Linked DNA regions of Pelodiscus sinensis. The protein of the gene in region 1 interacts with the protein of each later gene in a pairwise test. Links are inferred from orthologs where the notes say so. Each region holds a gene or a part of one and is shown in the gene's direction. Other genes may lie near its edges.

Region 1 (7,776 bases):
TCCACCTCACTGTTTACCCCTTTCTCCAAATTTTTTATGAATCTGTTGAATGTGCTTGGTCCCAGTACAGACTCCTGGGGGACTAGGGGTGTGAAAGGTTAGCCAGTAAACGTCACCCCAAATGGATAATGCTTGCTGTTTCCAGTAACCAGTGGCTGGAGCAGCTCCCTGCATGCTGTGGGCACAGAGGGCCCACTGCAGAAAGGGGCTGTTTTTGTCTGGAGCAGCTCCTGTCCAGGGTGGTCCCTGGTGCCCCACAGGCAGGCTCTGCTCCCGTGGAACAGTCTCTGTTTACGGGGAGCCCAGGCCTGCCACAGACAGGGGCTGGGAACTAGGAGCCAGCAGCAGCTCCAGACCCAGCCTCTCCCCCTAACGTTTAACCAGTGAACTAATTAACTAGGATTTGACATCCTTATACAGGACACAACTAGTTACCTCCCTCCATTCTGAAAACTGACCATTTTTTCCTACTTTTCGTTTCCTATTTTTAACCAGTTACCCGTCCATGAAATGACCTTCCTTCTCCCATAACAGCTTACGTCACTTAAGAACCTTTGAAGAAAGACCTGGTCAAAGGCTTTCTGGAAAACCAAGTGCACTACAGCCACCGGCTCCCTGCGGCTACATGCTTGTTGATGACCCTCAAAAAATGTTAGTGTATTGGTGAAGCACAGAGCCAGTATTTTTGTTCCTCTGCAGGTTTTCTTTACGAGAATATGGCAATGACCATACTAAATCAAAGCAATGATTCATCTAACCAGAAATTCTCTCTATCACTGACTAGTACCAGCTGCTGCAGAGGAAGGTTTAAAAAATCACAGCCTGTAATGAACTATGATGAAATTACCTACTGGCTGCGTCTAGACTGGCATGATTTTCCGGAAATGCTTTTAACAGAAAAGTTTTCCGTTAAAAGCATTTTTGGAACAGAGTGTCTAGATTGGCATGGACGCTTTTCCACAAAAGCACTTTTTGCGGAAAAGCGTCCATGCCAATCTAGACGCGCTTTTCCACAAAAAAGCCCCGATCGCCATTTTCACGATCAGGGCTTTTTTGCGGAAAACAAATCTGAGCTGCCTACACTGGCCCTTTTGCGCAAAAGCTTTGTGCGAAAGGGACTTTTGCCTGAACGGGAGCAGCGTAGTATTTCCACAAGAAGCACTGATTTCTTACAGTAGGAAGTCAGTGCTTTTGCGGAAATTCAAGTGGCCAGTGTAGACAGCTGGCAAGTTTTTCCGGAAAAACGGCTGATTTTCCGGAAAAACTGGCCAGTCTAGACACAGCCACTCTGTGGGAAAGTGTCTCACTAAGCCTATCAGTCATTAATAATTTTTCCCCTAAGGATGAGTGACTATATCCCTAATTTAAATAAAAAACAAGTGAAGCCTTGTTTTGCAGGCTAATGTGGTTTATGGATGTTTTCATTACCCATCTTAATGACTAACCTTGGAATAACTTAAAAAACAACAAATAGTCTGGTAGCACTTTAAAGACTAACAAAACATGTAGATGGTATCATGAGCTTTCCTGGATACAGCCCACCCAGGAAAGCTCATAATACCATCCACATGTTTTGTTAGTCTTTAAAGTGCTACCAGACTATCTGTTGTTTTTTAAGTTTATCCTGTAACAGCTAACTTGGATACCCCTGAAGCTCTTTAACTTGGAATGCTGCTAAACTCTACCTCAGTGATACCTTGTAGTAATAATTTCCATGGATTAATAAATAGTTCATGAGGGAGGAGGGGAAATCTTTCAATTTTCAATTTGTTGTCTTTCAAATTAAGTGCTTCTCTGTATGTCTCTGTTAGGAGAGAGAGGAAATGACAGTGGTTAATCTCCCTTTTGTATATAATTATTATTATTTGATTTATTATTCATCCATCATATCCCTGGTAAGTAGCCCAAGTTTTTTCATCTCTCTCTATATTTAATCAAAAAACAGGACGCTGTAGCACTTTAAAGACTAACAAGATGGTTTATTAAGTGATGAGCTTTCGTGGGCCAGACCCACGTCCTCAGATCAAATAGTGGAAGAAAATTGATCTGAGGAAGTGGGTCTGGCCCACGAAAGCTCATCACTTATTAAACCATCTTGTTAGTCTTTAAAGTGCTACACAGTCCTGTTTTTTGTTTCAGCTGCACCGGACTAACACGGCTACATTTCTACTACTATATTTAATCAGTTTTCCATCACTCTTTGAGCCCCATCAATTTCTTCTATGGTCTTTGAGGTGACTGACTGAATAATCCATGTGATGGTGTATTTTCTTTTTGTAATGCCATTCTAATATTTTCAATCCAGTAGAACTTCAGGATTAAAACCTCAGAGATATGTACTGACCAGCCAACCACACCACCTCCTTTGGAACTAGAAGTATGCACTCAGACCACGCCAGAGACCAAAATAAAAAGAAGCCAATACAGTTCAGTGTGTTAAATGTAAACTACTAAAGGGAACTATTTCTGGGCTTGTTTCCTTTAAATTAAGATGGCCATAAGTAGCATTTTTCTTCTATATAGTAGAGTTTCAGAGCTGTATTAAGTCAAAGTTCAGTTGTAAACTTTTGAAAGTATAATCATAATATTTTATTCAGAGTTACAAACATTTCAGAGTTTAGCTTTTAGGTGCTACTGTACTAATATTGATTCATTCTTTATCCATCCTATTAACATTCTGATTGTTTGCTGCTGGCACTGAGCAGAAAGTTATAGTCATCTGTGCAAAATGAGAGTCCTTTTTGTGAGTGCTGCTTTCAGTTAATTGTAATCAGTGTGCATGAAGAGTGTTTAAGCACTGGGTCATTGGATCCACTCTGTCTCATTCACACAGTGAGCACTTCTGTGCTGACCTTTCCATTTATCCCAGTAAAGCTAATCTCCACTCAGTTATTTATCTTAATAAATGTAATTTGTAGTGTTGCTGTAGACTAAGTTCCCTGTAAGTTGTGCAGCAGTGCAGCAGGCTATTTAGGACCTCACAGATGGGAAGAAGCATCCCTGCGGTGTTGAAGCTACTGTAGCCAAGGAGAGGGAGGGGCCCCTTGCAGCTGAGGAGAGGTGCCTTTTACCTCGCCCTGAGCTGCTGCAGTGAGAGAGGGCTGAGGGGAATTCTGTTTTCCCTGCTATAATGCTGAGGCAGCCTGCATCCTGTATCCCTTATTCCTGGCTCCATCCTAGACCTTTCACCCCCAGCTAGAACGCTCACCCCCTCTGCCACAGTCCTGACCCCCTTAGCGCCCCCCCCCCCCCGTCCACATGTCACCTCCATAGTGGTGCACGTAACAACATTCATTCTACACAGGCATGTAAAACATTAGAGGGAACACAGGCTGCAGCTGTGTTGGTCCCAGGAGATGTGAAAGTTGGGGGGGGGGCGGAATGGGGGTGAGGTAATATCTTTGTATTGAAGTTGAATGAACTTCTGTTAGTGAAGAGACAAGCCTTTGAAGCTACATAGACAGAGGAACTGACAGTCATGTTGGGCCCTTGGGAAAGGTGAGGGGGGCCGGCTGCTTACTCCTGAAAGGGGTGCGGCCTTAGGTGGAAAGGGTGGGGCTGAGGGCAGCCAGCTCTCAGCACCTCCCCCAGAGGGCACTACGTTGGACCCTTTCCCCGGCCCTAAGAGCTGCCCGGAACATGCCATGCAGGGCTCTGGCGGCAATTGAAAAGGCCTGGGGCTCCAAGCGCCACTTCTGCAGTAGCAGAGGTGGCTGAGAGCCCCGGGCACTGGGGTAATTGCCCCCTTTGCCCCACCCTGTCAGTGAGCCTGTACAGAGAGCTCCTCTGCAGGTCTGAGTGTCTTGGCTGACTAGATTGTGACATTTTCAGTGGTTACACATTTACATGGGGGGGCAGGCAGCTCCGTGGGAGTCAGTGCACGGAAACGGCTTAAAAGCCAGCTCCCTGTGCGGATCAGCTCCCTCCTACCCCTGCCGCCTCTGAGACAGAGGCAGCAGGGGGGAGGAGGCGCTGGCTGCTATTCCCCTCCCACCCCCCTCCAGATCTGGAACACTATGAATCAGCTGATTTGTGGCATTCCAGCTCTGGGAGGGGGCAGGAGGAGCTGGGGTGTAGCACGGATCAGGGGAGTCGCGTGCTCCGAAAGCGCAGGAGGGACGGGGAGGAGTTGGAAGTGTGGGGCTCCGGTGTGCTGGCGCGGGGGGGGGGGGGAGGAGTTGGAAGTGTGGGGCTCCGGTGTGCTGGCGCGGGGGGGGGGGGGGAGGAGAGCAGACGGGGTCTGTGGGCTGCAGGTGAGGTCCCAGCGGGCTGCACGTTGCCCACCACTGGCCCAGGACTGCACGAAGCATCCAAGGGCCCTATTAACAGCACAGGGCCTTCTCCCTGCCCCATAGCTTCCCCCTTCCTCTGCTCACCCCTACAGGCCCCCCAGCTCCCGCCCCTGCCCTCTGCCCCCCTATAGGGCCCGTTCTCCTCTGCATGGGACTTCTCCACGGGGCTCCCCCAGCGCCCCCTCCCCCTCCTCCGCGGGCTGCTGCAGCCGCAGGCCGCCGCCGCCAGGGGGCGCGCGCGCGCCTCTCCGCCGGGCCGGGCGCCTCCTGCGCCGCGATTGGCGGAGCCGCCCGCCCGTCACGGCGCGGGCAGCCGGGCCCGCCTCCTGGGCAGCCGCCGGCGGACGGAGCCGCCTGGGCCGGGTGCGCGCGGAGCCGGAGCAGCCGCCTGGGCCCGCGGGCCGCTTCCGCCCCTCCCCCCCCCGCAGCCGCACAGCGCCCCCCCCCCCGGAGCGCGGGCCCATGGAGGGCGCGAGGCCTGGCGGGGCCCCCCCCGGGCCCGGCTCCTTCCCCGCGCTCTTCCCCCCGGGGCTGCACGGCATCTACGGCGCGTGCCGCCGCCTCTACCCCGAGCAGCCCAACCCGCTGCAGGTCACCGCCATCCTCAAGTACTGGTGAGCGGGGGGGGGAGTGAGGGGGGGTGGGCTGGGGGGGGACTCCCGGGGGGGGGAGTGAGGGGGGGTGGGCTGAGGGGGGGCTCCCAGGGGGGGAGTGATGGGGGGTGGGCTGAGGGGGGGCTTCCTGGGGGGGAGTGATGAGGGGGGGCTCCCTGTGGTGGGTGAGCTATGGGGGGGCTCCCTGGGGGGACGGGCTAAGGGGCATCTCTCTGAGGGGGGCTCCCTGTGGTGGGTGAGCTATGGGGGGGCTTCCTGGGGGGACGGGCTAAGGGGCATCTCTCTGAGGGGGGCTCCCTGTGGTGGGTGAGCTATGGGGGGGCTCCCTGGGGGGACGGGCTAAGGGGCGTCTCTCTGAGGGGGGCTCCCTGTGGTGGGTGAGCTATGGGGGGGCTCCCTGGGGGGACGGGCTAAGGGGCGTCTCTCTGAGGGGGGCTCCCTGTGGTGGGTGAGCTATGGGGGGGCTCCCTGGGGGGACGGGCTAAGGGGCGTCTCTCTGAGGGGGGCTCCCTGTGGTGGGTGAGCTATGGGGGGGCTCCCTGGGGGGACGGGCTAAGGGGCGTCTCTCTGAGGGGGGCTCCCTGTGGTGGGTGAGCTATGGGGGGGCTCCCTGGGGGGACGGGCTAAGGGGCGTCTCTCTGAGGGGGGCTCCCTGTGGTGGGTGAGCTATGGGGGGGCTTCCTGGGGGGACGGGCTAAGGGGCATCTCTCTGAGGGGGGCTCCCTGTGGTGGGTGAGCTATGGGGGGGGCTCCCTGGGGGGACGGGCTAAGGGGCATCTCTCTGAGGGGGGCTCCCTGTGGTGGGTGAGCTATGGGGGGGCTCCCTGGGGGGACGGGCTAAGGGGCGTCTCTCTGAGGGGGGCTCCCTGTGAGGCAGGCGATCTAAGGGAGGGTCCCTGTGGGGGGGCTTCCTGGTGAGGTAGGCTAAGGAGGGGCTCCCTGTGTGGGGCAGGCTAAGGGCTCTTGTGTGGGGCTCCCTGTGGCATTCGCCTGGACCGGGAGGGGCTCCCTGAGTGGGGAGGGTTGACTCCATCTGTGGGTAAGGATGGGGGGGTCCTGTGGGGGCAGGTACATTGTTCTGAGCGGAATCAATTTGGCAGATCTACTCTTGCTCTTTATTTGTATCTGCCCTCCTTGGGAGCCACTAGAGCCCAGTCCGGTCTGTTTTCTGTGGATAGCTGGAGGTCCGCAGGGTGAAACTCAGCATTGGGGTATCCTGGCCAGTGCAGGATTAGGGGTTGTTTTTTTTTTTTTTTTTTTTTTTTACCCCACAAAAGCTTTTCTGGTGCTTTGGAAAACTTTAGTTAAGGCTCTGCATGCTTTGGTGTTTTCCCTTTAATTTCATCAGGTCTGCTTCTGGTTAGGCAGAAGTAGAAAAGTAGTTGTTCCTGGGCTGGTCACTGATGAATCCAGGCATCCTTGCAAAGATGCACTGCTCTTGTGAGAATCTAGACCAGTGCTTTTTGGATGAGGAAGGCGGATTCTTCTGGTTTGTTGGCTGCTAATACAAATCTGGGATCTAGACCTAATTGCTAAATATCTAGGGAAGCTTGAAAAGTAAATGGTTGAATTTTGTCTGAGTGCAGGCTAACACTGCACAGATTTGGTACCAAAGTGGGTTGATCAAATCGCTACAGCAATAGAGATTTAGATGTCTGCCTTTAGGCATTCAAGTGCTTTCTCTTCTGTCAACAGTTTATGTCCATGTCAACTGGAATGAGACAAGATTTGTGTGATATGAAGGTAGAATTGGGTCTATAATGATTATGATAAAGTCCTCTTTGGATTTTAGGAATAAATAGCTCTGAGTATCTCCTACGGTGCTAATCGGTTGAGAGATGTACACTCATGTCCTAGATCCTGAAAAAGGCGCTAGTGGTAGGGATAATACTGTTTTTCTGTGGTCAGATCTTAGGCCTTAGCTCTAATGTTTATCACCATTGTTACCTCCTGTGCATTTTAATTGGTGGTCATACCAGTGGCAGCATGTCTAGCACAGTCAGTATATACTGCAGCTGCTACCCAGAGGAAATTTTAGCAACAGGTCTAGTGTTGACATAGTGTTATAAAGTCTATCAGAGTCTTTAAACATTTGTAAAATATTTGCTGAATTCATTGTTGTTCACACTTTCCTGTGTGGTTGTCTTCTGTCCTCATTCTTCCGGGCTGCAAGCAATTAGAATGGTTTAGATCAGTGATTGTCAGAATGAGTCTCGTGAGCTGCAAGTGGCTCTCTAATGTGCACGTGCTATTAAAGCACTGTGTGATTTAATTATTAACCAGCCTAAGTTATTAACCAATCAGAATGCTTTTGCGATGTTGTTAACCAATTGTAGTTGATAAAATTTGGTCATTTTGTTGTGTGACTTGTACTATAATAAATGTTATTTATTTATGAGAGACAGTTCACAGTACTGTGGCACTTTTGGGTAATGTTGATTGATAATTTGGCTCCTGAACCACTGAGTTCCAGAGTATCACTAGTTTAGATTCAAAGAGGAAATAGCTGAACAGAGCTCAGTCCCTCAGGGATAATAATACAACTCTAATCCATTTTTAATTATACGTAACCAGTCTCTTAAAAAAAAAAAAGTTGTGATTTACAGGATATTGCAGTGTTAAAAGGGTTCTCTGGCTTGCAAAACAAGGCAAGTATCTATGTAAACATGCAGCAAAACCAAGTAAACTGCATACCTTTTGAGGGGGAAAAAAACTGAAGAATGAAAAATATTTCATGTATCACATGTATTCTTTTAACATGTTTCATTTGTATATTTTTGGAAATTAATTCAGAAAGCTTTTGGAGCTTTTGGAAGCACTCCTGTGTCTATGTGTGTGGAAACTTCTTTGTAATCTTCAGATTATTATAT
Region 2 (8,191 bases), on another chromosome or scaffold:
ACAGCCCTTGGTAGCAAAACTTTAATTAATTAAATGAATTTTGCCTGTGTAACACATACAGAATTGAACTCACTTTCAGATTCAGCTTTTCCCTTTTTGTATATATTTTAAATATTCTTAAAATGTATTTTAAGATTGTTTAATAGATAATTACAGCTTGCACAAAACTGGAATATTTTTCTCTCATACATCATATCTGAGTACTTAAAACTTTCATTCACTAAAAAGGAATTCTGAATGTGTATGATCTGCCTTTGTATAGTGTATTTAAAATTTGTAATAATGTGCAAAGTGTTAACCCTGAACAGTGACATCTACATTTATATAAATCAAAACGGCGTTTGTGAACTGACACACAATTCAAGATGGAAACCTGGGAGGCTCTTGCTGCCAAAATCACTATCTGCACTCGGCACATGGCTGTGCATGCTGCGCCATGATGCTGCACACAGCACGAAAGTCTGCACCCGGTTCTAGTCTTGCACACAACACCACGCCCTGCTTTGCACTGAGAACCATTGGAATTTTCCCGTCTTGAACTCTATAAAATCTAGAATCCTGAGAAGATCAGGTTGGCAGTTTTCTCACACCACCTTGGAGAAGAAGGAGTCGTGTCACAGAGGAGACCCAGTCTAACCTACCTGATTCTACTCCTGCCGCCCTCAGGGTGCTTCAGTCCACACTGTGGCGATAGCCCAGCATCATGAGCCTTAGCTACCTGATACCCGACCCTACATCATCAGGACCGAATGGAGCCTCCGGCATCAGCTGTGGAAAAGGCCCTCACGGTGTTTAGAATTGCTCTTCGGTTATCTTTCACAAACTGCATGTCTGTCCACTGTGCAAGCAGAGGCTAACATCACATCGAGCGTCTCCCTACTTAATGAAGGACGCCTCAGTGCTCCTCCCCTGACAGCTACCTTAGCTAAAAAAAAGGGTTGAAGGTCCTGAACATCAGCAGCCTTTGATGGTCAAGTATAACATTCTGTTGCTAGTTATATCGTTCCTATCCTTTTTATTTTCAGAGGGTGAGGGGCTGGGTTATTGATTCAGCGTTGTGTTATTGTTATTGGATCAATGCCCACAAAACAGATATCAGACAGGATCACAAAGAAAAAACAGTTTCTTGCCATTTCAACCAAAAAGGACATTGTCTCAACGACTTGATTACCTGCATCCTGCTTTAAAGACCTTTTAAAACTTCACTTAGAAGAGAATCCTCTGAACTGTCATTCATGCTTAAATTCAACACTTTACATTCAAATTTGAAGACACTAATTATCTTACCCATTACAAAGATAGCTTCCCCAATTATCACCTCTAATATCATTAGCTCACAGACATTTACTTCCCCCCCTTCCTCCCCTCCATCCTCCTTCTGTTCTGAAATTTGATTTGTCCTTTTCCTATGTGTTCATTTTTTTTATTTGTATCCTTTGGTATATATGGTTGTGACAATTTTCTTCCACTATTTGATCTGAGGAAGTGGGTCTGGCCCACGAAAGCTCATCACCTATTAAACCATCTTGTTAGTCTTTAAAGTGATACACAGTCCTGTGTTATTGTTACTTATTTGTTGTATATCAATATACCTTTTTGACATTTTAAAATCTGACACGTGTCCTCGGTTATTTTACGGGACTGAGGGAGAATCCGCCGGTGACAGATATGGTGGCTTCCAGGCCAGACCTCCTTCTGGGGAGGAGGCACTTTAATGGGGCACTTTAACATCAGATCAGAGCAGGCCCCATTAAAATTTCACTTATCAGTGCACCTTTGCTGGTAACAAAAGCTTGCATCTTACAATATTGAAGCACTTTACTGAATCCTTATTCCAACTGCCCTTCATATAAGATGTGCTTTCTTTGGCCCCATTACTGCAAAATGTTATGCCAAAGTACTCCAATTAAAGTTAATAGTACTACTCATGCGCATAAAGTGAAGTCCCCACATAAATCTTTTTAGGATAAGAGTCTCTGAATGTTAGGCGTGGAGGTAGGGAGCCTGTACGTGTCTGAATTTACACAAGCCCCTAATTCTGATTGGTGCCACTTTGATATAAACAGCAAATAACAATTTTCATGACATTCAGTGATTCCAAAGATATTTCCTTAGCACCAATCTCGCCAACAGAAGAGCTGGTATGATGTCTCATGCCTGCACATGGCCTTACTGGCTGTAGTGTGTTCCTTTCATTTCAATGGAACTTAGAGGAAGATGAGTGCCTTAAGGTATGTCTACACTACCCACCCTAGTTCGAACTAGGGTGGCAGTGTAGACATACCCATGGGCTATGTCTACACTCCTGGCTTCTTGTGCAAGTAATATACAAATGAGGCTAAGCGTGGAATATCGCCGAGCCCCATTTGCATACCTAATGAGCCACCATTTTTTTCAGAAGAGGCTCTTGCGCAAGAAGGAGCGTCTACACTGCCCCTTCTTGTGCAAGAAAAACCCTCTTGCGCAATGCTGTTCTTCTTGAAAAGTAATAGGTGTAACGGCAATATTACTTGTGCAAGAAGCCGCGAGTGTAGACATAGCCTTAGTGTCCTCAATGCTCAGGACTTCCCTTCTAAGCAATGAATAGCTGACGCTAGTGCGCCAGCCCCATGGGTGGGAGTGGAAGGGGGTACACAAAATCTACTAGGCCTTCCCCACAGGCTCTGGTGTGCAAGGGGGAATGTGAGGAGTGTCTTTCTCCTTCTCAGTCAGGAATCACAGCAATGACTGAGTGGGATGTTTTGTTTCTCACTTGTCTGTGACCCCCAACTGATTTTTCTGTGAGTCAGCAAGCCCCCACCCCTGGTTTACATAAATACAGCCACTTCAGGGATGGTGAAACAACACTTTCAACAACAGTTGGAACCAGGAAAACCAGGGTGGCTGAAAACAAAGAAACACCAAAGTTGTAAGAGAAGCCCCACAAGTCCTTTGATGCCCATATAAAGCAGATACGCCATTGATGTTGAGTCTCAACTGAAAAATACAAATTATTCCAGACTTGTCTCTCACAAGCAGAGAAAGGGGTCAAATACCCCTACTGCATGGGTGGGCAATAAAATGGCAGCAGTTCCCCCAGGGTTAGCCCTGGTGGGCCACTGTCACTATATTACCTGTGCCTCTGCAGGTACGGATGATTGCAGCTCTCATTGGCCTTGGACCACCATTCCCGGCCAATGGGAGTAGCGGAAAGTGGCACACACTGGGACACTGCTTCTCTCTAGGGATGTTAGCTATTGATTGATTGGCTAGTGGACTAACTGCATGAATTCTGCAGTTTGTTGACTATAGTCCCCAGGGGCGGGGCCGACAGCAAAGGCAATCCAGCCCCACTACTGGGGATCCCGCCAAGCAGGGTGCCAGACGGGAGATAGTCCGCGAGGGGATCCGGTTTAAAAATCAGCTCCCCTCGCAGACTGCTGCCCCAGGCTGCTGACTCTGATACCCAGAACAGCCTCTGTCCACACAGGGCCGGCCCGAACCCTTTTGGTGCCCTGGGCCCGGGCGCATGGCGCTGTCCCCGGGCGCATGCATAGGCCTGCCCATGGGGTGGGGGCCCGCCCTCCCAGGGCGCGCGGGCCCATACCCCGGGGTGCATGGTGCATGCGCGCGCTGACCAAGGCCGCTGACGCTCAGCCCCCGGGGCACTCGGCACATGTGCAGGCCGGTCACGGACCAGCCAGCACTGCTGGCACACACACGCCAGGCCGTGAAGGGCCCTGCAGCTGTGGGGGGAAGGGCGCAGCTGGCGAGCACCACGGGGCCAGCGCTGTGGGAGCTGGGCGCACGGCTCCTAATGGCAGCTGTAAGGCCCTTACAGCTGCCAGCAGGCATCCCTCATCGGTTGGCACCCTGGGCAGCTGCCTGGCTCGCCCTGTGTCCGCAGCTGGCACTGCTGTGACAAGAGTTTGCTTTGCTGCAGCTTCCACTGCTCCCCCCACGCTGGGTGGGCTGGGGGGCAGTGCAGCACTGTGTCACTGATGCTAGGGGGAACCGGCTTTGAAGTTGGCTCCCCCGCCCTCCCTGCTGAGGCAGCAACTGGGGGTGGGGAGAATGGGAGTAGTTGACTAGATTGATAAGCCTAGGCTTATTGGTTAATCAACTAGTCAACTACTCCTTCACATTCCTACTTCCAACTGCTCCCATTGGCTGAAAATGGTGATCCGCAGCCACTAAGAACTACAATCGCCTGTATCTGCAATGATGGAGGCAAATATAATGGTGGTGGCGGACCAGGGGCTAACTCTGGGGAACCATGTGGGTTTTGCCCACCCTTGGCCTGTGGAAGATAAGGTGACAGGGAAAGCCAAGTATTTCAGATCCCTGCTCCCCACCTATTATGGGGAACTCGCAGCCCCGAAGAGCCTGCATGCCATAGCTGCCCTGAGCACAGGCTGAGGAGGGCTAACAAGGGAGACACCACTGGCACTGCCAGGCTCCTGTTCCAAGCCCCCAGGGCTAACGACTCTGCTTAGGCGGCAGGTCCCGTGCACCCCCGGAGGCCCGGCCCCGCTCATGGGCAGGGATTTCCCTACACCCCTCCCCATGGGGCTCTACACCCCCATGAATTGCCCCAGCACCCCCCAGTTCTGTGAACTATGGTGCCATAGCCCAGCTTCGCCCTCACGGCCTCCCCCTCATTGGCCCTGCACCCCCCCCCCATTTCAATTCCTGGGGAGGCTCCTGCCAGGGGTGAGGCTTAGCCCCTGCCCGCCCGGCGGAGCGGCTCCCGGCCTGGGAAGGAGCGAAGGCGCCGCGGACGCAGGCAGGCACTGCCCGCCCTCCCACCCGCAGGTGCGCAGCTAGGCCGCGGGGCTGGTGCGGGGCACAGAGCGGCCCCCGTGCGCTGGGGAGGAGGCAGACTGCTCCATGCCTCCCTTCCACGCCCCGCCTCTTCCCGGCCTCGCGCTCCCATCCCGAGTCGGGTGGAGCTGTTCCCTGAAGGCGGTGCTCCCCCTCCCCTCCGCGCAGCTGTTCCCTGTACATTCTCCCCTCCCTCCTCAGGCGGGCTGTTCCCTGTACCAAACACTCCCCCTGGGCCGGAGGGGCGGGGGCAAGGACTGTCCCGGCCGGCGCTGATCTTAGGCTCCCATTGGCCGCTGTCTGTGCTGACGTCACGATCATGATGAGAATTAATGATCGGAGGCGCTGATTTCATTGTGTGACGCCGGGACCGACCCAGCTGAAACCGGCTGAATCCGGAGCCCCCCGGACCAACTCCGCCCGCCCCACAGAGCACGGTAAGTCCGGCGCTGTGCGCGGGGGGCGGGGTATGTATGTGAGTCACGAAAGAGGGAGCGAGAACAAACGCCGAGGCGCTCAGGCACGGCAGCCCGGCCTGGCTAGGGAAGATGCCCCTTGGCTGGGGGCCTACATGTGGGGGAGGGCGGCCGCTTGGGCTGGTGCTCGCCTAGCAAACTCAGGCACGCATGCGCCCTACGATTCGGCTGTTCTGCTGCGGCAGACGTTGGCTGGACCCGTCTGCCGTTGAGAAGGAAGTACGCATGCGCACGACCTATGCGTGCTCGTATGGGCTAATAGTTGGCGCATGCTCCGAGGCTGTGGGACAGGTTGCGCTCGGCTGTACTGACTGCGCATGCGTATTTTCAGTCCGTTTGAGTGATTTCTGACTTCTCCCAGTCGTAGAGCGTGGCGTTGATTGATGCTCCGGGCACGCGCACGTTACTTTGTGCCCTGGCTGGGCCATGGGCGCTTGCACAACGCGGGTGGCCAAACTATTGGAAAATTTTGCGCGTGCGCAGTGAGGCCTGGGCTACTCGTGAGAGCTGTTGGGCTCTGTTTTCTAGCTGCAGTCGCCTAGTGTCGGAGCAGCGCACGTGGGCAGGGGTTGGGAGCGTCTATTCTGGATCCCCTTTCCTGGCTCTGCTGTATAAACAGTCACTGCTGGTAGCACGTGGGAACCTAGGCAGTGGGTGAAACTGTGTACAAGGTCCGTGGGGCCATTCAGTGGGAGTAATGGGGGTGGGGCTCGAAGCTCGTTCTTGTTTCCAGGGCGAGGACGGGGGTTGAGGAGGGCGCAGTGTGCTCACTTGCGGGGTAAGAGAGAAGGCAGGAAGTTGGGCAGATAACAATGCTGTGACATTTTAGCCCTTGCGTGTCTGCTGTTGAAGAGATATGGTGGGTGACATGCAAGTCTCCTGGCCTGTGACTTGGGGTGGTGCTCCGTGCCTGTGGTGGCTTAGGAGCCTCACTATGTCATGGATAGAACACAAATAGCAATAAAGATAATTGCTTTATGCTGCCTTTCAGAAGCCAAAGACATATCGTGTTTAATGAGGCTCTTGATGGTGTAATGTGTTAAGAATATGCACAATCTACTTGTGCTGGTAAAATTCTCTGTAAATGAGCTGACCAATTCTGAGTACTGCATTTGATTCAGTAGGTGTACCCATGTGAAAAGTTATAGATCTACTCTGATTGTTGCAAGATGAAGGCCTAAATAAATACGTTTTGTCAGGAAAGGTTTACTTAAAAATATTTTGACTTACCTATTTTTAACAACACTTTGTTGCAGAAGCTAAATGTCAATCAATATTCTTTAGTGCTTCCAATGAAGATCCTGTTTTGTGGTTTTTAGCAGTTAGTTGCTGATGGAACACCCTCAGAGTCTTAAAATATTTACAGCTCTAGATTTCCATATGTTCCTTTCTATTATTTGCAAGAATTGCTAATTCTGCTGGTTCTTAGTTTATTGTATCAATTGCCCCTTTTCTTTTCACACAAATACCACTGTCTTGTGTAGTAAGTAAAGTAAGAATGGCCATATTAGATCAGACCAATGGCCCATCTTGCTCAATATCCTGACTTCGAACATGGGCCATTACAGGGTGTTGCAGAAGGAATGAACTGGAACAGGCCATTATCAAGTGACTCATCCCTTGTCACATACAGGCCCGTACGTGTGTGTGCAAGGTGCGAATGCATGCCCCCCCCATGATCACCCAATTAAGTCTGAGGGGCATTCTGCAGCTTGAGCTCAGTCTCCTTCTTCCCCCCCAAAGCAGAGAGCCTGTGCTGGCACTCCAGCCTTCCCCCCCCTCCTCTGCCCTTCCCCCCCAGGTTGAATTGCTAGTGTCAGCTTTCCACTGGGGATGGGAAGAGGTGGAGAGAAAGCCTTGCTGTGTGATTCAGCTCATGGGGAAGAAACCCTCTCCCTCCCCCAGCTGGGGGGAACAGTAGTACACCTATGTGCTGCCTGGAGGCTTTTCCTATTGCTCCCATTGGCCGGAATCCGACCAATGGGAGCAGCAGGAGGCCATGTCTGGGACTGGTGTGGCATGTGAAGGCAAGTAAGTGGCCTCCACCCCCCTCATGCCAAGACTCCCACACCTGCAGCCCACTCATATGCCCCCACCTCCTGCTGAGACCCATCCCCAGCCTACTCCTGCACCCTGGCTGGATATCCCACCCCAACCTACTCCTGCACTCTCCCCTGCTCCTGGCCAGACACCCTATCCCCAGCCTACTCCTGCACCCCACCACTCCCTGTCGCTCCTGCACCCTCTCTCCTGGCCATACACTGCACCTTCCCTTGCTCTTGTCTCCTGCCCTTACCCAGACACCTTACTCCCAGCCTGCTCTGGCACCCTATCTCCCATCCAAACTTTGCACCCTCATCTATTCCTGCACCCCATCTCCTGCCAAAACCTTGTACCTTCAACACCACCTACACCCAACCTTCTGCCCAGATCCTGCATCCCCATTCCTGTGGTAGAGATGTAATAGTATAATTGATTAACCAATAAGAAAAAGCCTATTGGTTAATGCTATAGACTACATGCATTTCTCCCCCCCCCCCCCCCCCGCCCCCCAAGTATATTTTTCAGCACCTGGCTAGCAGCTCAGCTCAGTCCCTGTTTGCGCTGGGTCAAGGACCTACCCCCCCATTGTGGCTCTGCATTTAAAGTGTGTTAGGAGCCAGGCAGCCCAGCTGACACTGGATCCGGAAGCTCAACCTCCCCCCATTTCACCCCGGTCAGAGGTTACTGTCACCCCACGCTGCTGTCTCTGTATCAGAAGCAACAGCGTGGAGTGACAGGCAGCCGATCCGTGAGGGGCACTGTTTTTTAAACTGACTCTCCTCGCAGACAAGCTCTCACCTGGCATCCCACGCTGCTGCCTCTGATACAGAGGCAGCATCCTGGAGTGGCAGGAGCCTCCTCTGGAGTGG
Region 3 (7,409 bases), on another chromosome or scaffold:
TTCCAAACATTTTCAACAACAGAAGGGACAGATTTTTGTGAAAGTTTTGTGGAAAATGGTATTATTTTTTTTGACCAGCTGTGGACTAGAGACCAATTTAAAGGGTCAATGCACCCAGTGACAGCATCTAATTATAATTTCCAGCATGAGGCACCTAACACAAAGATTTTTCTGGATCTAAAAGTCATAACTTGAGAGCATGACCAGGCCCTAAAGCTTGAAGATCTAATTTTCAACAGCCACACAGCATGATTCTGTCTTAGTGAGGCAACTAAATGAGGTCATGGATGTATAATAGATTCTATTTTCATTTCCATTAAAGCAGTCTTATTAGATGTGTTCTCAACAAGGGAGAAAAAATGATGCTTTGGAGAAAATAGATCTGATTTGCTAGACAAGAGCTTAATTTTCTGAAAAGCTCCATTAAGCCATCTTAGGCTCCCAATAAGCGTGTGTAATATCTAATAAACTTAATTATTCAAATAGCATGGCTTCTCCTATAGTAATGTCACATACACTATGTATTGGCATTAAACTGGGCCTGACTGACTATATGGTTGGCTGTTCAGCAAAGCATTCTGGATGGCTGTGTCTACACTGGCAATTTATTCCGGAAAATCAGCCGCTTTTCCAGAAAAACTTGCCAGCTGTCTACACTGGCCGCTTGAATTTCCGGAAAAGCACTGACGATCTAATGTAAAATCATCAGTGCTTTTACGGAAAAACTATGCTGCTCCCGTTCGGGCAAAAGTCTTTTTCCGGAAAACTGTTCCAGAAAAGGGCCAGTGTAGACAGCACAGTAGTGTTTTCCGCAAAATAGCCCCGATCGCGAAAATGATGATCGGGGCTTTTTTGCGGAAAAGCACGTCTAGATTGGCCACGGATGCTTTTCTGGAAAAAGTGCTTTTCCAGAAAAGCGTCCTGCCAATCTAGACGCGCTTTTCCGAAAATGCTTTTAACGGAAAACTTTTCCGTTAAAAGCATTTCCGGAAAATCATGCCAGTGTAGACGTAGCCGATATGTTTACCTGTCGATGTGCTAACATGTCTAATCTGGTAATTTTTAACTAATTTAAATGGCTTGCATAATATATAGGAAATTTAGGCCAAACTTTGGATGTGATGTGGAATAGTAACACATTCCATCTTGCTTCAAATAAGATCGCAGTCTCTTTGGGGCAGGCACCATCTCTTCGTATGTCTTTATACCGTGTGTATCACAATGAGGCCTCAATCCTTGATTATGCATTTGTGTGCTACCATAGTGCAAGTAGTAAATCATAGTGTTTGAAAACCCACTTACAGTAGAGCTAATAGGCTTCATGTCAGCATCTCTGAAAATTGGGGCCTGTTGAATCATTGGTTTAAAACAGTGATGCTTTATTTTCATTACATGGAGACACTAAAACAGACAGCTTTTCAGGGAAGTCAGATTTAGTTCTTGACAGTTGTCAGTGTTTTTTAAGCTGATGCTCTGTCACTGAGGTTTTACACCATACACCTTATTGCTCAGAATGTTTGTTCTATTGCTTTTGTAGATTTAAGTCATAAATGTACAGTGCTCAGACCTTATCTGGCAAATATCCTTATTAATAAAAGTTAGTTCATTGTATAAATCTATAATAAACACATTTGCACTGGCTCTAATGTAAATGCAGGAGAAGATCTCATTAATTCTTAGTGATGGAATCTAATAATATAACTTAATGGAAAATTCTGGCATATGGTATCAATAAAAATATAGTCAACACAGTAGATTACTGTGAAAGTGTTTTTTTTTGTTTTGTTTTGTTTTGTTTTGTTTTTTAAGGCCAACAAGTAAGTTCTCCTTACATAAGCTATAAATGTTCCTTGAATTGTTTGTGATTTTAATGTGGTTTTGAAGTGAAGCATATCTTACAAATACTTTCTGCATAAAACCACAAATATACTACATCGTGGCTACTCATAGATTTAATCCATTCACTGCTGAAACATCCATACACATAGCAATAAATAGACTGGATAACAATGTAAATGTATGGGAACTATTGATGCATTAATATCTTGAGTTATTTGCATACACCAAGGAAACTTTAAAGAAAATAGCATGGAAAAGTACATCCTCCTTTTGTATATTTCCAGACTTCCTTTAATATACAGAAGTAAAATGAGGCCAGGCTAATAGCAAAAGAGAGTTGGCTCTAATGAGGACTCACTAGCCATAGGCTCAAGACTGGATGAAGGAAACTGTGTCCTACGCACAGCATGAAATAAGGATGGAGCTTCTATTGGGGACCTCTTCTTATGCTAAGACTCTGCCTCACATTTGCAATGATCTCTCCTCCCTCCCAGACAGACAGGGGCAAATACCTGCTGCTTCCCCTTCCAGGAGCAACCAGGTGAGGAACAGGGCAGCTCTTTGCCATTCAGAGGGGCAGGGGCAACAGCAGTTGGGGGCATACTTGCTTAAGTCAGTGAGCTGGGCCTGCTTGTAGTCTTCTGTTACCTACAACATTCTGTGTTTGGGTAGTGTAGGCAGTGCTTCTAGAGGACTGGATCTTGATAACAGTCACTGAGATAATATGGGGTAATTCACTTCTCTCCGAATTACTGTTTCATGCTCTCAGCATACTTAAACAGGATTACATTGGTTACACAATAGTCACATTTTCTTCACAATCATGAGGATTTTTTTTTAATTTCAACAGAAACAGAAGTTCTGTTATTATGTGATCCAAGGAGCTGAGTTCCAACATGCAGGTGTGTTCCATCCCTGGAGGTGTGCTTTACCCTTCCCTGCTCAGACAACTCACCTCTGTGATAGGTAAAATGTCAGAAGAAAAAATGGTATTTTTCATTTTTTAAACCTTATTTTTCACATTGCCATATAATACTCTCTATATGTAATAGTCCTTTCCTGGGTGTCGGTGAAGAGTAAAAAATATTGTGAGACCAGTCATGAAAATCTAACAGAATTGACCAAAAGTCTGTAAATAGAGGAGGTTTAAATATCAGTACTCCAGTGATAATATAAGGTGATGTGTGCTACTACTTGTATGGACTGCACTCGAGACACTTGCAGTAAAAAGTATGCATGACTTCCTGTGGGGCAAGCCCCAGAAGAAGACAGACACTGACTCAGTGTAAATTAATTATTTCAGATGAAAGACTATCCAGATACTAATGTGTGTTAACATCACCCACCCCAATTCCATCTCCTAAGAGAATGAGTGGCAGAGTAACCCAAAGGGAAGTGAACTTGACCTTTCTGTGCACAACTATTCTTGGTTATCAGGAGAGTCAGTCTCCCCTCATATAGTCACAGCCGGTGGGAGTTGCTAAAGGACTCTTCCATAGTTATTAAAAGATGGAAAAGGGGGCTAGATTCAGGAGTGCTGGCAAAAGAGACTGAACTTTCTTTCCTAGTCTCACTTGCATCAAAGTTATAAACAGGTAATATCCTCATCAGGTGATATCCTTATTCACTAACTCCAGTGGCTACATTGTTTTTCTTAAAACTTCTGTTCTAAAGACAGAAGTTTGGAATGTTAGAAGTATCCCTGATGGAGCAGTGGGCAATGTGCTGCTGGTGATAAATTTAGTGGGCATAGTGCATAGGAAGAGGTCACAGGCACATTGCAAATTATCACATGGCTTTACAGTTCTTTGCACATTAGTGGGCTTCATTCATCCCTGTAGGTGCAGAATTTACAACCTCCACTGTCTGCGGAGGCAGCTGCATACACAACACCACAGCTACTCTTTCCTGGGGATTCAATTTACAGCAGATCCCATCACTGAGAATACATGATGGTTCTGCTCTGATGTACTGCTCCCAAACTCCCAGCAAGCTGATTTTATGCTTCTCTAAGGAATGACCCATACTGGAATAAAGACCATTTTTAAAAAAAATTAGCTAGCAGACAAAGATCAGACAAATTTAACAGGTGTTAGCAGCGGTATTCATGCTGATGTGTTAGTATGCCTCTTATCCTGACATAGGCAGGTCCTAATACAGACTGTTACAACACCTCTCCCAGGTGTGTTTCATCCACTTCCTAAACTGTGCTTGCCTGATTTGCCTTGCACAGTACCAGCCTCCTGGTTCCATTGGCTAACCCTAGGGTGAATCAAATACTGTGTAATTGTGGGTATGCAGTATAATAGGAAGAGGATTTGATCCAGTACCTTGGTTCCATTGAGAATCTGAACCAGAATCTAATTTTACAGCTGGATTTAGATTTTTAATGGATTGAACCATAATCCTGGGCAAATACCCCTAAACTCTTTGGGGCAGGGTGGTCTGAAATCCAGCCAGGGTATTAATCTGGCCCTTTCGGTGGGATGTACTGGGCTTTCGATGGTCTCTCTGTGTTTCCAGAATCAGGAAGCGGCACAGGCAGATTCTATGGAAACTGATCCAGCCTTATTCACACCAAATCAAGTACAACTATGAAGAATGCCCAGGAAGGCAGGGAAGTGTCACCAGCCTGTCAGTCGCCTAGTTTCTCTTTCCCAACCTCCCTCTCTGTGTGTGAGTCAGAGTGAGTGCTGAGGGGGAGAGAGACACTCTGCCTTTGAATTAGCCAACTGGCTGACCAGGAGTTACCCGCCCCTTTGCCCCCTCCCTCCCTCGGCTCTGGCACTCGGGAGACTGCTGGCTGGCGGCCCTTAAGCATTCACCCCCCCTCCCCCGCCTCCTTCCCTGCACTGCAGTCCCTCTGTCCACACAGCACTGATACAACCAGCGGAGAGCACGGGCAGCCCAATTCCTGCGCTGGCAGCAGCCTGGACCCCCCTCCTCCCCAAACAAGTCTGGAGAGACAACACTTCCCTCCTCCCAGGAACAATATGACAGCAGTGAGCTAGCAAGGTCGCCAAACAAGTCAACTTCATCTTCCTCAGCCTCTCCTACGGGCACTGACTGCGGGACACGGCAGTGAGAGGCGAGCCCTCGAGTTTGGTCAACCCAGATTTCCCAAGAGAAAAGAGAAAGCTCCTCTCCCCAGCCCTCGCTTGGCATGTCTCTTCCCGAGCCCTGATGGAAACTGTTCCTGCTCAAGTGGAGGACAGCCTCTCTCAAGTGTGTTTGAAGGGAACCAGAGTTGCTTTTCTTTCTTCAGCTCTCTCCTTGCAAGTGCTGGCTGTCATTCTTGCCTAGAGGAGAGAGGGGCTCTGCCTGGAGAAGGAATATGCACCTTGGGCTTTGTTGTGGAAAACCTGGTTACCTGGTAAGTGGATGCTGCCATAGGAACTTTGCTTGCAGGCGCACGCACACAAAAGTAAAAGCTGATCTAACCATCAAACCAAGCTAAAGAGCCTCACGTTAGCCAAAACACCACGGCGGCAGCAGCAGCAGCAATCCTGTGGAGTCTAAACTGTTTTGTATACACACTCTCCCCCTCCCCTGCTTCGGGGGAAATGTATTTAAGAGGGGGAAGGTAGAGTGCGCTTTACTTGATCAGCTGAGCGGGGAACAGAGTCCAACTTCCCACAGGGATTCTGAAATGTAGCCCATGGCTGTATGTATAGAACGACAAGGTGTAACAACCAAAGGGGCTGTGCTTTAATCTGACCACGGCTGGGTGTGAGATTTACTTGCAGGAGGGGCGAGGGGTTAATTGACAAGAGGTGAGGCTCGTGCGATCTTACGGACAACGCAAAAGCTTGGTAGTTTGTCAACGACTGTAGTAACTAGTGTAAACTTTCGACCTAAGGGGACTTAAGAGAAGAATAGGAAAGGGGTGAATGAATGACGCGAGGAATGCTGTCTCATAAGTACTGTGGACGTATATGCAGGCAATTCAGTCTTCATTATTTGTTGTTTATTTTAAGTGTAGCCGTGATAGAGCTTCATTGCTTTATACAGAGAGCGGGCGTGTGTAAATGTTGGAGTTGGTGTATGTACACACACCCAGCAATTATATGTAAGACCCTTCAACGCTCTGTTTTTGTCAGCTCTCCAGCAAACACATGCTTTTACATTTTGTGCGTGTCTAGTGTCAGATACCGTTCACATGTCTCACTCCCGCTGTACGGGACTTGATCCTGGTTCTCGGCTCCAGTCCTGTGAATTATCCGGTGTTTTTCTGCGAGCCGCCTTTGGAAACCATGAGTCTGCAGCTCTTTTCTCAGGCTTTCCACGGTGTGTTTGTTTGTTTGTTTGAAATCCTGTGGTGAGGTTACTTCGAAGTTACTCACTGTCTGCTCTTGAGCTGGAGAAAGAGCGATGTCTGGAAAGTTGGAACAGGTATTCTCTGACTCCGGGAGATTTGTCATCCTGCTGATGATTAAGCCGAGACTTAATTCCTCGAGGAGGAAATGAAGGACTTTGCAAAGGAAATGACCGTGGGATGCTGTCCCCTGAGTGTGTGTTGCAGCCAGAAAGTAGAGTAAATCGCTTCGTTGAAAGCCGGGCTGGCTGCAGCGAGGCACATGTCTCCTCTTTCCCCTTAGGCAGCTGACTTTTTTTCTCTCTGCTCTCCTGAACAGCCGTATTCACAGCAGCGCGGAGAGGAGAGGAGGGCTCGCAGCACCTCGGGTCTGCGTAGCCGTGGGCAGCGGCGTGAAATCCACCTGAGCGGTCCAGTCCGTTTCCCCTCCTTTCCGCCAGCCTCAGAGGCAAGTTGAAGGCTGAGCCCTGGTAGCTAGTTCCCGGGCGCAGCAGCCAGCGGTGCTAAGGAGCCGCATCCCTGCTTGGAAAGTCTCGGGAGGGGAGAGCTGAGAATAGTGTCCCGGCACCCAGCCAGGGAAGCTGAGGGAAGAGCCCTTCTCCTCCAGCAGGGGGCAGTGGAATGGGAGAAGCAGGTGAGCTGGGAGCTCCAATGGAGTCCAGCTTGAGGAGTGCTCCCACTCCAGGAGAGAGGAGTGGAAGAGGGTAAGGGTCTCACTGCAGCTAGGTTTGGTGCTGGTATTTCAGCTGCAAATCACAGACAAGGGGTGAGGAGCCCCACCCGGCACACCATTGCGCCAATGATTTTAGGAAAGGGGCTGCAGGTGGTCAAAATAAAGGGATGAGTTTCAGTGGGAGCTTTTTTTTCCGAAAGCCCTCCTGAAATAGTGTTAAAATCTTACAAATCTTCTCCCACCTCTCCTTAGTTCTGCCAAGTTTGGTCCCTTCCACCTGCAGATACTTTGTGGTGTCTCTCCAGAGGATAAAAATCTCCCCCCCTGGAAAAACAAAACAAAACAACAGCCCTGCATTTTCTGTAGTACAAATGCAGCCACCAGTGTCACTCACACCAAAGACAGACCACACAGCTATTTAATGCTCACTAAAGTGACAACTTAATCTTCAGCCTTTTTGTGTCACTTGGTAATTACAATTTAGCAAAGTTTAACAAATAGAAATTTCAGTTCCAGGCTTCCACTGGATTTTTTTCTTTCTTCTTCTCCGAGAAACCAAGATACTTTCTGACCCCGTTGGTA

The links.
Region 2: the proteins of SUFU (region 1) and HDX interact in binary tests that used the Homo sapiens proteins (3 or more experiments, as listed by UniProt). The link is inferred for Pelodiscus sinensis from reciprocal best matches to the Homo sapiens genes SUFU and HDX.
Region 3: the proteins of SUFU (region 1) and GLIS3 interact in binary tests that used the Homo sapiens proteins (3 or more experiments, as listed by UniProt). The link is inferred for Pelodiscus sinensis from reciprocal best matches to the Homo sapiens genes SUFU and GLIS3.

What each region holds. Positions count from the first base shown.
Region 1 is NC_134718.1:72,981,484-72,989,259, reverse strand, and holds the start of SUFU (suppressor of fused homolog), read left to right. Parts: upstream 1-4,721; 5' UTR 4,722-4,754; coding exon 4,755-4,906; intron 4,907-7,776. UniProt on the Homo sapiens protein: Negative regulator in the hedgehog/smoothened signaling pathway. Down-regulates GLI1-mediated transactivation of target genes. Down-regulates GLI2-mediated transactivation of target genes. Part of a corepressor complex that acts on DNA-bound GLI1.
Region 2 is NC_134723.1:15,990,687-15,998,877, forward strand, and holds the start of HDX (highly divergent homeobox), read left to right. Parts: upstream 1-5,016; 5' UTR 5,017-5,240; intron 5,241-8,191.
Region 3 is NC_134716.1:29,311,902-29,319,310, forward strand, and holds the start of GLIS3 (zinc finger protein GLIS3), read left to right. Parts: upstream 1-4,306; 5' UTR 4,307-5,212; intron 5,213-7,409. UniProt on the Homo sapiens protein: Acts both as a repressor and an activator of transcription. Binds to the consensus sequence 5'-GACCACCCAC-3'.